Linked DNA regions of Mus musculus: all the other regions are reported to be linked to region 2. The links are microRNA targets in miRTarBase. Many come from high-throughput screens and were not tested one by one. Region 2 holds a microRNA gene; each other region holds the end of a gene's coding sequence.

The links. Region 2 holds the annotated microRNA mmu-miR-302b-3p (UAAGUGCUUCCAUGUUUUAGUAG, at 959-981, opposite strand). A microRNA usually pairs through its seed, bases 2 to 8, with sites in the 3' UTR of a target mRNA and lowers its output. Matches are read on the target gene's strand: a 7mer-m8 pairs with bases 2 to 8, a 7mer-A1 pairs with bases 2 to 7 and ends in A, and an 8mer does both.
Region 1: miRTarBase lists Mtif2 as a target of mmu-miR-302b-3p. Seed matches in the 3' UTR shown: 7mer-m8 at 512-518.
Region 3: miRTarBase lists Gad2 as a target of mmu-miR-302b-3p. Seed matches in the 3' UTR shown: 7mer-m8 at 2,519-2,525.

What each region holds. Positions count from the first base shown.
Region 1 is chr11:29,544,633-29,547,957 of GRCm38, forward strand. Mtif2 (mitochondrial translational initiation factor 2) reads left to right here. Exons shown (of 14, transcript NM_133767.3): 14 at 281-820. The coding sequence ends at 453. It overlaps Rps27a (ribosomal protein S27A), which reads right to left. Exons shown (of 6, transcript NM_024277.2): 1 at 3,209-3,325; 2 at 3,049-3,113; 3 at 2,574-2,628; 4 at 2,071-2,156; 5 at 1,659-1,790; 6 at 1,210-1,397. The coding sequence starts at 3,096. The coding sequence ends at 1,248. It overlaps Clhc1 (clathrin heavy chain linker domain containing 1), which reads left to right and starts at 3,318. Exons shown (of 12, transcript NM_028504.1): 1 at 3,318-3,325.
Region 2 is chr3:127,543,256-127,546,255 of GRCm38, reverse strand. It overlaps Mir302b (microRNA 302b), which reads right to left and starts at 1,028; the gene lies at 955-1,028. Larp7 (La ribonucleoprotein domain family, member 7) reads left to right here. Exons shown (of 13, transcript NM_138593.2): 7 at 1-209; 8 at 286-430; 9 at 1,978-2,102. It overlaps Gm51018 (predicted gene, 51018), which reads right to left and starts at 1,167. Exons shown (of 2, transcript NR_146435.1): 1 at 1,110-1,167. Mir302c (microRNA 302c) reads right to left here and starts at 893; the gene lies at 826-893. It also overlaps Mir302a, Mir302d and Mir367.
Region 3 is chr2:22,689,697-22,693,051 of GRCm38, reverse strand. It overlaps Gad2 (glutamic acid decarboxylase 2), which reads right to left. Exons shown (of 16, transcript NM_008078.2): 16 at 1-2,879. The coding sequence ends at 2,706. Among named protein-coding and RNA genes, the nearest start is that of Mir3967, 37 kb to the right of the region's middle.

The DNA of each region.
Region 1 (3,325 bases), not on the chromosome of region 2:
TACAACCTCAAAAATAAAGACTTAGACTATCTTTAAAATGGAAGATTTCAGATGAAATCAATCTCCCAGAATTCACTGGAAGGGTAGAAATGGAGCACAGCAGGTAAAGACATTTGCCTCATAAGCCCTACAGCTTGTGTTTAATATCCCATGAAGGTAGTAACCAAATTGTCCTGACCTCTACAACTACCATGGAACATGGATCTTACACAATATATACAACTTTAGTAGGTAACTTGCTATTTGTTGAATATACTCAGCATGACTTTTTTCTTTTAAGGATCATTAACCTCTCTGAAACACCATAAAGATGACATTTCAGTTATAAAAACTGGTATGGACTGTGGTCTTAGTTTAGATGAAGAAAAAGTCGAATTCAAACCGGGAGATCAAGTCATTTGTTATGAAGAAAATAAAGTTCCAACTAAGACTTCCTGGGATCCAGGATTTTAAAAGCACATTAAAAATGGTAAATGGGAAGCCGGGTGTGGTGGTGCACGCCTTTAATCCCAGCACTTGGGTGGCAGAGGCAGGCGGATTTCTGAGTTCGAGGCCAGCCTGGTCTACAAAGTGAGTTCCAGGACAGCCAGAGCTATACAGAGAAACCCTGTCTCGGAAAAACCAAAAAAATAAAAAAAAAAAAAAAAGGTAAATGGGCTGGAGAGATGGCTCACTGACTGCTCTTCTGGAGGTCCTGAGTTCAAATCCCAGCCACCACATGGTGGCTCACAACCATCCGTAATGAGATCTGACACTCTTCTGGAGTGTCTGAAGACAGCTACAGTGTACTTATATATAATAAATAATTCTTTTAAAAAAATGGTAAATATTTTCCCTTCATTTAAATACAGGGTCCTGAAATTAACTATGTACCACCATGCCTAGCTTGTATCTCTCATATAGGGGGAAAATTACCAATCAACACTGAAAACATTCAACAGCTTATGCACATACCAATACAGTATTATTCCCATATATTCCAAGCAGCTTTGACTTGGCACCTTCAACTTATTTGTGAGACATACTGTCCTGTAGCTTCTACTTCCAAGTCTACAGGATATTCCACAACCCCTTAAAAAGAATTGACCTTAGTGCCTGCCATCATGCCATGCCATGATGCCAAGTTTTATATTGGCTTTGACAGCTGCAGCTCATACAACATCACACAGCCAAAGAAACATTCTTTAAATGTACAATAAAGCACAATACTAAGTACGAGTTCCTTCTTTTTATTAACGCATACACAACTACTTGTCTTCTGGTTTGTTGAAGCAGTAAGTCAGACAACACTTGCCACAGTAATGCCTGTCAAAGTGGCTTCCCATGAAAACTCCAGCACCACATTCATCAGAAGGACACTCTCGACGAAGTCGGCTAATTTTGCCATTTTCATCCACCTGCAAAACAAGAATTTACTGTAAGATGATTTCACAAAACATATTCTGAAACCTGATTTAAGTGACTCAAGCTATTGATCTCACAGTACCAATTTTTAGTGGTTTAAGTCAGTTCTCCAAATTAAAAATCCTGTTTCCAATTCTATAAACTCACTTAAATATCAAAGGGGAGTTCACTTTCAACTCCAAAAGTACTTCCAAAAGTTAGTTGCTCAGATCTTATTCCAAGTGGAACCCATGTTTTGCTAACACCACACTTACCTTATAGTATTTCAGCACAGCCAACTTAACCTTCTTCCTCTTATGCTTGTTCTTCTTGGGAGTGGTGTAAGACTTCTTCTTCCTTTTCTTAGCACCACCCCGAAGTCTCAACACCAGATGAAGGGTGGACTCCTGTTAGTGGAAGATGAAACAGCAGCACTGTAGCATCAACAAGTCTAACTCCAGCCTGTCAAAAAGTTGGGTGGTGTTGGGCCTGTCACTCCAGCACTAGGAATTTTAAGGAGGCTCAGGAATCCAGTTCAAGTTGGCCCTGAGCTACAGGAGACTGCTCTCTACAAAAAGGGTCAACCAACCATCGCATATTTTAAAATCATGGAACAGCTACAGTGCTCAGCAAGTGTTAGTGGATTCAATATCATCCCTTTTTCTGCATGTTTTCCCTCAAACAAACCTTTTGAATGTTGTAGTCAGACAAAGTCCGGCCATCTTCCAGCTGCTTACCAGCAAAGATCAGCCTCTGCTGATCAGGAGGAATTCCTATTAGAGGAAAAAATACTGGGCTTAATAGAACAAGGTACATTCCCCATTGTTGTGAATCAAATGATTGCTAACAGTGGTCACAGACTTAGATGCAACTTTTTCCAAGAGTAAAAGCCCTGGAACTTTCTCTGTAACCAGGCTGCCTCTACCTCCTTAGTGTTGAGATTAAAGTGTGGACTGGGCCATTGCCCAGCCTGAGCATTTTATCGTCTTTGTGACTCAGTAAACAGTTCTAGATTAACTTTTAAAAGATTTGTCCTGCAGAGTTTCCAGTTAATCAGATAGCCTGACACTAATGTCAGGAATATTTTACTTTCAAAAGCATCTAAATTTATTAATCTGTTTTCTACCTTAAGAACAAACGTGTCTAGGTCACACAAGCCAGTCATTTTTCTAGTGACAAACTTTACTTGCCTTCCTTATCCTGGATCTTGGCCTTTACATTTTCTATAGTGTCCGAGGGTTCAACCTGCCAAGTTTTGATATATGTAGTTAATATACGGTTACATAGTAAGTCATTAACTGCTAGCTTTATACAAAACGAGCAAGGAGGAGGTGAGCTAAAGGTAATCAATTAAGATGACACCGCGTGCAAACTACCCAGAGTGCTACAATCCAAATTAGTCCCCATACCAGGGCGAGCGACGGCGGGGGAAGCACAGGAACGCGTCTGCCCGGAGAAAAGCGTCTCCCATCACCTACCCTACATTTCGCCACTCGGGATAAAGCAGGCTAAACCGTACCACACCGAAAACCAAACGTTGTTTTTGCTAAGCACCATAATCTCAGCTCAAAGCCAAGTTTCACAACTCAAAACTCAGAAACCCGCCCTCAAACACTAAGGGCCTCAGTCAGGCCTTGGCTTCCTCAACGGCAAGGTGGCCCGTACCTCGAGCGTGATGGTTTTCCCCGTAAGGGTCTTCACAAAGATCTGCATCGTGGCGGCGGCTCCACCTGCATTCGAAAAGAGACGGATTAGATCCGACGACACCCGTGAGAGCGACGCGTAGCGCCACTAGCCAGAGCGCGGCCACAGAGCATACACTCACCCACGATGGCGGATCGGAAAGGAAGATCCGAGCGTGGCCGACGGGGTCTCCTGGCCGAAGGACCCGCCCCTTAGGCGGCCACACACGTGCCTGCGCGCTGCAGCGGAATCGCGGCTG
Region 2 (3,000 bases):
AACCCCGGAAGCTCCAAAGCAACCTGCAAAGAAAAAGAAGAAGCGGGACAAGGTGGAAGCATCCAGCTTACCTGAAGCCAGGGCAGGGAAGAGGGAGAGGTGCAGCGCCGAGGACGAAGACTGCCTCCCCCCAAGGCCAAAAGCTAAGAAAAGGGCTCAGAAGGATGGCGTCGGCCAAGCAGCTTCCGAGGTCTCCAAGGAGAGCAGAGGTACCGTGGCAGTAGGGTTACAAATGTTTTAACCAGTTTAACCACAACAACGGACTTACGGAAATCTTTTTTCTAGACTTAGAATTCTGCTCTACTGAGGAGGAGAAGGAGACAGACAGAAAAGGTGACTCACTCTCAAAGGTGAAGAGGAAGCATAAGAAGAAACACAAGGAGAGACATAAGATGGGCGAGGAGGTTATACCATTGAGAGTGCTGTCCAAGTAAGTGGCCACTGACACAGGTCCATCACCATTGCTAAAGTGCAATTCCAATTTCTATTCAACAGAGTTGCATGTTAGCAACAGTGACGGCCTTGGTCTATCTATATGCAGCACAATGAAGATTAAGTAGGAGCCACCACACTCAAACATGGAAGCACTTATTTTTAAATGCACAGCAAGTGCCTCCATGTTAAAGTAAAGGAGGCCCCTTAAGCAGACTTGAGTGGTCTTTACAAAGGCATGAATATAAAGGAAAACATACCATCACCAAAACATGGAAGCACTTACTTTCTTAGGTCTAAAGCAAGTACAACCACGTTTAAGTGGTGGGAAGCCCAGTCAATAACTCCCTTAACCTACAGCATCTTAGAGAAAATGTTGAACAGTTTAAGACACCCCCACTGAAACATGGAAGCACTTGCTTTTGTTTAACACAGCAGGTAACCCCATGTTAAAGCAGAGGGGACTCCCATCAGACTCTGAATTAAAAGGCTAGCTTTCTTATTCCAGAGTTTCTTGAATTCACTTCTACTAAAACATGGAAGCACTTACTCTTCGATGAGACAGAAAGCATTCCCATGTTAAAGTTGAAGGGAACCCACCCACAAGGCAACTAGTTAAAACAGAAGAGCAAACCCACAGGAAAGTAAAGTGACCCGGTTACAGACATAAGCTTTACCTCCTTTACCTTCGTGACCGCCTCCCAAAGAGTCCTGTTCTGTCCTCGGAGGGTGAAAGACGCCGACTTTAGACCACTTGTATTTATACTACTCCTAACTCCTGAGTTCCTTTTGGCTTTCTATCTCTGAGAATCATTACAAGACCCTTTGTTATTTTAATGTATCAGCTCTGGGGAAAGTAGGTCCTGGGGACCTGGGTAGGTCTGGATTTTTTTTTTTTTTTTCCTTTTTTGAAGTAAACAGATGTCAATGTTAACTGCTAAAACCATTACCACAAGATATCCTCCTCTTTAAAAAAAATCTCCTATCTGCCCGTTTGATGGCACAGATTAGGGTAACAATGAGCGCTCCCACAGAGCCAGGAGATGCATTGTGCTTCTCTGGAGGAGCCCTAGCTGTTTGAAGATACATCTACATGTTAAATGTATGTAAATAAATAAATTGCTTCCATGGGGTGTTTTTTTCTTCTTAGAAATTCCTTTTGATTCAAGTAAATCCTAAGGAATGTTAGCTCTCAAATTGGAAGCAATTTGAGAAATCTTTAAGTTTTAGTCTCTTACTTTTTCTCCAGGTTGCCTGATTTAGTGATTTTACTTAATAGAAGTGACTCAAAAGTGATTTTACAATTAAATATTAGAAGCAACCAGGAAACTCAAGCATTTTCCTTGCCTGTTAAGACAAAGAAACTTCCTTTGTGTGTTTGCTAGGTAGCTTTAACAAATGGCTTAACAAATAATGTAAACATATGCCTTAAAAGAAAGAAAAGTCAGAAAGACTTGCAGTTCCTATGAACATTGTGTTTAGATCAACTTCAGATTTCTAGTTGGGTCGTCTTATCACTGTAATGGCTCAATTTTTGTTTTTCAGGACTGAATGGATGGATTTGAAGAAAGAGTATTTGGCACTGCAAAAAGCTAGCATGGCTTCTCTAAAAAAAACAATATCTCAAATCAAATTGGAATCAGAAATGGAAACAGACTGTAAAGCGCCTAGTAAGTGTGCAGTGGGGAACGGAGAGGGTGACGCTCATGTAATGGAAGAGTGGGCTTTAGTCTATGAATGGTTTCAGGGGCAGTTTTATTGCAGTGATAGAGTGGCTTCCTCAGTTTTAAGCTGAACCATTTCCAAAAACAAAATGTTTTAAGAAAAGTAAAAATGTGAAGTTTTGTATTACACACTAGGTTTTAATAGTCTGTTTATTCTTCTCTACTTACCTGCGAGCTCACTTGTGAGTGCCTGGAGAGAGAAATAAAGACTGCAGGCTTAGTGGATGATGTTCAGCAAGCAGGAGCATATTAGAGCACTACTCTCGTTCATTGTAATATTAGTAAAGGTTTTAAGTTCTTGCAAATTATACAAATTCTCATATTTGAACAGTATACTTTGTGGCTGGAGAAATGGCTCAGTGGTTAAGCACACTGACTGCTCTTCCAGAGGTCCTGAGTTCAAGTCCTAGCAACCACATGGTGGGATCTGATACCCTATCCTGGAGTGTCTGAAGACAGCTGCAGCGTCCTCATAAATAAAATAAATAAACAAATTTTTTAAAAAATGAAATTGTTGAAGCCAGGCAGTGGTGGCTCATGCCTTTGATCCCAGCACTGGGGAGACAGAGGCAGGCGGATTTCTGAGTTCAAGGCCAGCCTGGTCTACAAAGTGAGTTCCAGGACAGCCAGGGCTATACAGAGAAACCCTGTCCCGAAAAACCAAAAAAAAAAAAAAAAAAGAATAGAATACTTTGAATAGTCTTATGTTCATATAGGCATACATCTTTATTAAGGCTTTATTCTTTGGTTTAGAGGTATAATGCCTTTTGTGCCATGTTGATTCCAATGGGCAGTGTGATTCCTTAATATTATTTACAATTCTGAGATCCTTAAACTAGCCTGA
Region 3 (3,355 bases), not on the chromosome of region 2:
ACGATTTTCTTTCTTCAAATCCTGTGACAGAACATGAAGTCTATACCACTTAGAAGTCTTAGATAAACACATACTGCACTTTTTTCAAGTATTTTAAATAATAAATGAAATATTGCTATATAAATAAAAATTAGCATATCAATTCTGATTAAAACTGAAACCAATGTTTAAAAAGAAAAAAAAATCACAGATAGAGACCATTGGCACTGGGGATTTGGACCAACGTTCAATATAGTCTCCCTCCATTATTACTCCATTATTACTCTTTCATCCCATTTTCCTTAGCACTCTCCTGAGTGGATGGCAGAGCTGCTGTAGAGGATCTATTAAAGTACTGGGCATGCATGTACCTCCTTTTCTAGGATACAGGATGAGAAGATTTGCATGCCCGAGCAAGGCTCCTAGAAATTTTGAGGAAGAATCTGGAGAAGAAGGGGATTGGAGATCCAATTCACTAGCAAAAAGTGCATGGACACAACTTTTTAAATTCTGTCATCTCATCAAACTAGAAGCCAGCTTGAGCTACTAAGTCTGTCCCCCAAGGGCTAAGCTTTCCATCTATCAGACAGTAGGCCCTTCTGCCTTCTCTAAGCGGGACACTCGGTTTGATAAGTGAGTCTCTGCCCGGGAAGTGAGATCTGTGGGCCTGAGGCACAAGATGGATGGGCAGCTGCATATTTACTCTCAGCAGCCAGGTTCTAGAAAGGAAAGTTATGCCTGTCCATTAGGGAGTGCTGACCTACTTCATGACACTCTGGTGTACAGGTTGTTTTCTTTTTGGCTGTCTAGACAGCAAGGGCCCAAAGCTACAGTCATACTGAGGATCAGTATGTCTAGTCAAATAAGGTCTGGGCTAAGTTGTAAAGATTTGTGGTAGTTAGGGACAGGGCCTTCTTTCTTCTGTTCCTGTATCTTTCTGAGTACCAAAATGCCCATCCATATGGAGTGGGAGAATGCTTCCAGACTGGTACTTGCCTTTTGCATGTAAAAGTCCATAGTTCTACCAGCACTTAGATCTGTTCATCTGTGACTTAAAGTTATCATGGGAGCTGTTGATCATTCTCCATCCAGTTTACAGGGAAAGAAACGTATTTTCAAACTCTTGATTTGAATTTTAGCGATCTCTGCACATTCTAGTCACTGTGGGTCTTGATGGGAGGCAGATAAAAGAAGTTCTTAGGCTACCTTGAAATTGCTTGCATGAGGAACTCATTTCAGGAAAGGAAAAGAGCCACATGGGATAGTAATTCATTACTAGGGGTCTGGGGGCAGGGAGTCTAGCAGGAGAGACTTTAAAGTGTGGGATGGAGAAGGAATTTGAAGAAGAGAGCATCTGGGATGCAAACGACCCTTTCCCCAGACAGTAGCAAAATGGCATCTGGGAGGAAGCCATTCTTGTCATACAGAGGTCTCGACTCCCATGACTGGGTTTAATATTCTGTGCTTATCACACTTAAGGAGTGTGCTGTACCCCTCTTTGCTAGGGCTGATTTGGTTTTATTTTCACCCTTTTTCCTAATTAATCCAGATGATCTAATAAAAGAATATGGTTTGAAAAGACACTTCAAGAACTAATATCAACCTTTGGTTGAAAGCAGGCCGCCGGGAAGCAGAGTGGACGAGCTTGCCTGGATCTGGGTCCAAGCTGGGCTTGCCTGGCTTCTAGACAGGGTCTGCGAGGTCAACTAGTGCAACATCTAAACAGGAAGAGAATCTTAATTGTTGATCTGTTCAATTGTTTTTAGAAGTTTCATTTTTGTGTGTGTTTGCTTTGAAATACTAGCTTTAGGGATATGATAAGCCACAATGTATTCTAAAGTAAGTTATTACATTTTAAAAGAATTTTGTGGGTTCTATGTTAAAACTATCTTGCTAAAGTGTTTTATTGTGCCTCCATGAGAAGAAAGATAGAAAAAAGTAAAGAAATAACTCTGGCTTATGTTTCATATCTGCCTCTGCAGTCTGTATAACCCATATAAAATAAAATCTATATGTTACAAAATAGGATTTCTTTTAATATATATTTTTCTTTTGTAAAATTATATGTATTTAAATACATTTGAAATGTTGCTCTAGGTAAATTAGAAATTCTTTTCCTAATACTATGAAAAAGGCAAGAGTTTTTCTTGTCCACATACATTTTATATTTACTTTGTCCTTTTCACTGTACCCCAGAGAACCTTTTATGATTCAAGGGTGATTTGGCACTATTTATTACTACTGCTCTGAAGTGAAAATAAGGTTGGATTAACATACTATATTAAAAGGGAAGTATTTATAACAATTTTATACTTTCTCTTACTGATTAGAACACAGCCTTTTGTCACTAATTATTAGAGAGGTATTCTAAACTTAAGAAAGGATTTTAAAAAGGAGTGATGTTTCCTGTTGGTTTTGATTTCTTTGTTTTTTGGTTTTTTTCGAGACAGGGTTTCTCTGTGTAGCCCTGGCTGTCCTGGAACTCACTTTGTAGACCAGGCTGGCCTTGAACTTAGAAATCTGCCTGCCTCTGCCTCCCAAGTGCTGGGATTAAAGGCATGCGCCACCACCACCCCACTGGTTTTGATTTTTTTAAACTGTACTCTACTGTGACACCACGATATAGAAATAGAATTATTCTGGAACAAACTACAAATACATTTACACAGTTTGTGACAACTTAGCTGTCTACCTAGAGAACTGAAACAGTTTGATGAGTGAGGTGATTACAAATCTTGTCCGAGGCGTTCGATTTCTTCAATAAGGAAGTCAATGTCTTGGTGAGTTGCTGCAGGGTTTGAGATGACCATGCGGAAGAAGTTGACCTTGTCCCCTAAGGGTTGGTAGCTGACCATTGTGGTCCCATACTCCATCATTCTGGCTTTAATCACTGGCGCCACCTGTGGAAGAGAACACGTCAGTGCAACGACTTTCTCTCTATCTCCTTTATGTTAGTTATGCAATCAATGTTTGTATGTTATGCAGTGCATCCCATAGCAAGTGGTGTTTTTAGTTTTTAACTAAACAGGACCACAATTTTCTCTTGAAGGAACTGCTTCAAGTTTTCATGAGATCAGCAAATAAAAATAGCTCAGAATATTAAAAACCCTAAATATAATAAGAGACTCGTCATCTTGCAGGAAATGAAAAGAATCTTTTCCTGGGGTTAAATGGTTTAACAGTACTACACTGAAGAGAGTTTCACCCTAAAAATGCAAAGTCGTTGAAAGAAAGCACTATTAATAAAAATTACTATGAGGGGCAAGCCTCAGTATCAAGTGATGGATAAAAGCAGGAGACAGAGGGCTGGAGAGATAGTTCAGTGGGTGAGTGCACCTGCTTGAAACCATGAGAACCTGTGCTCCTCTAGCAGCCA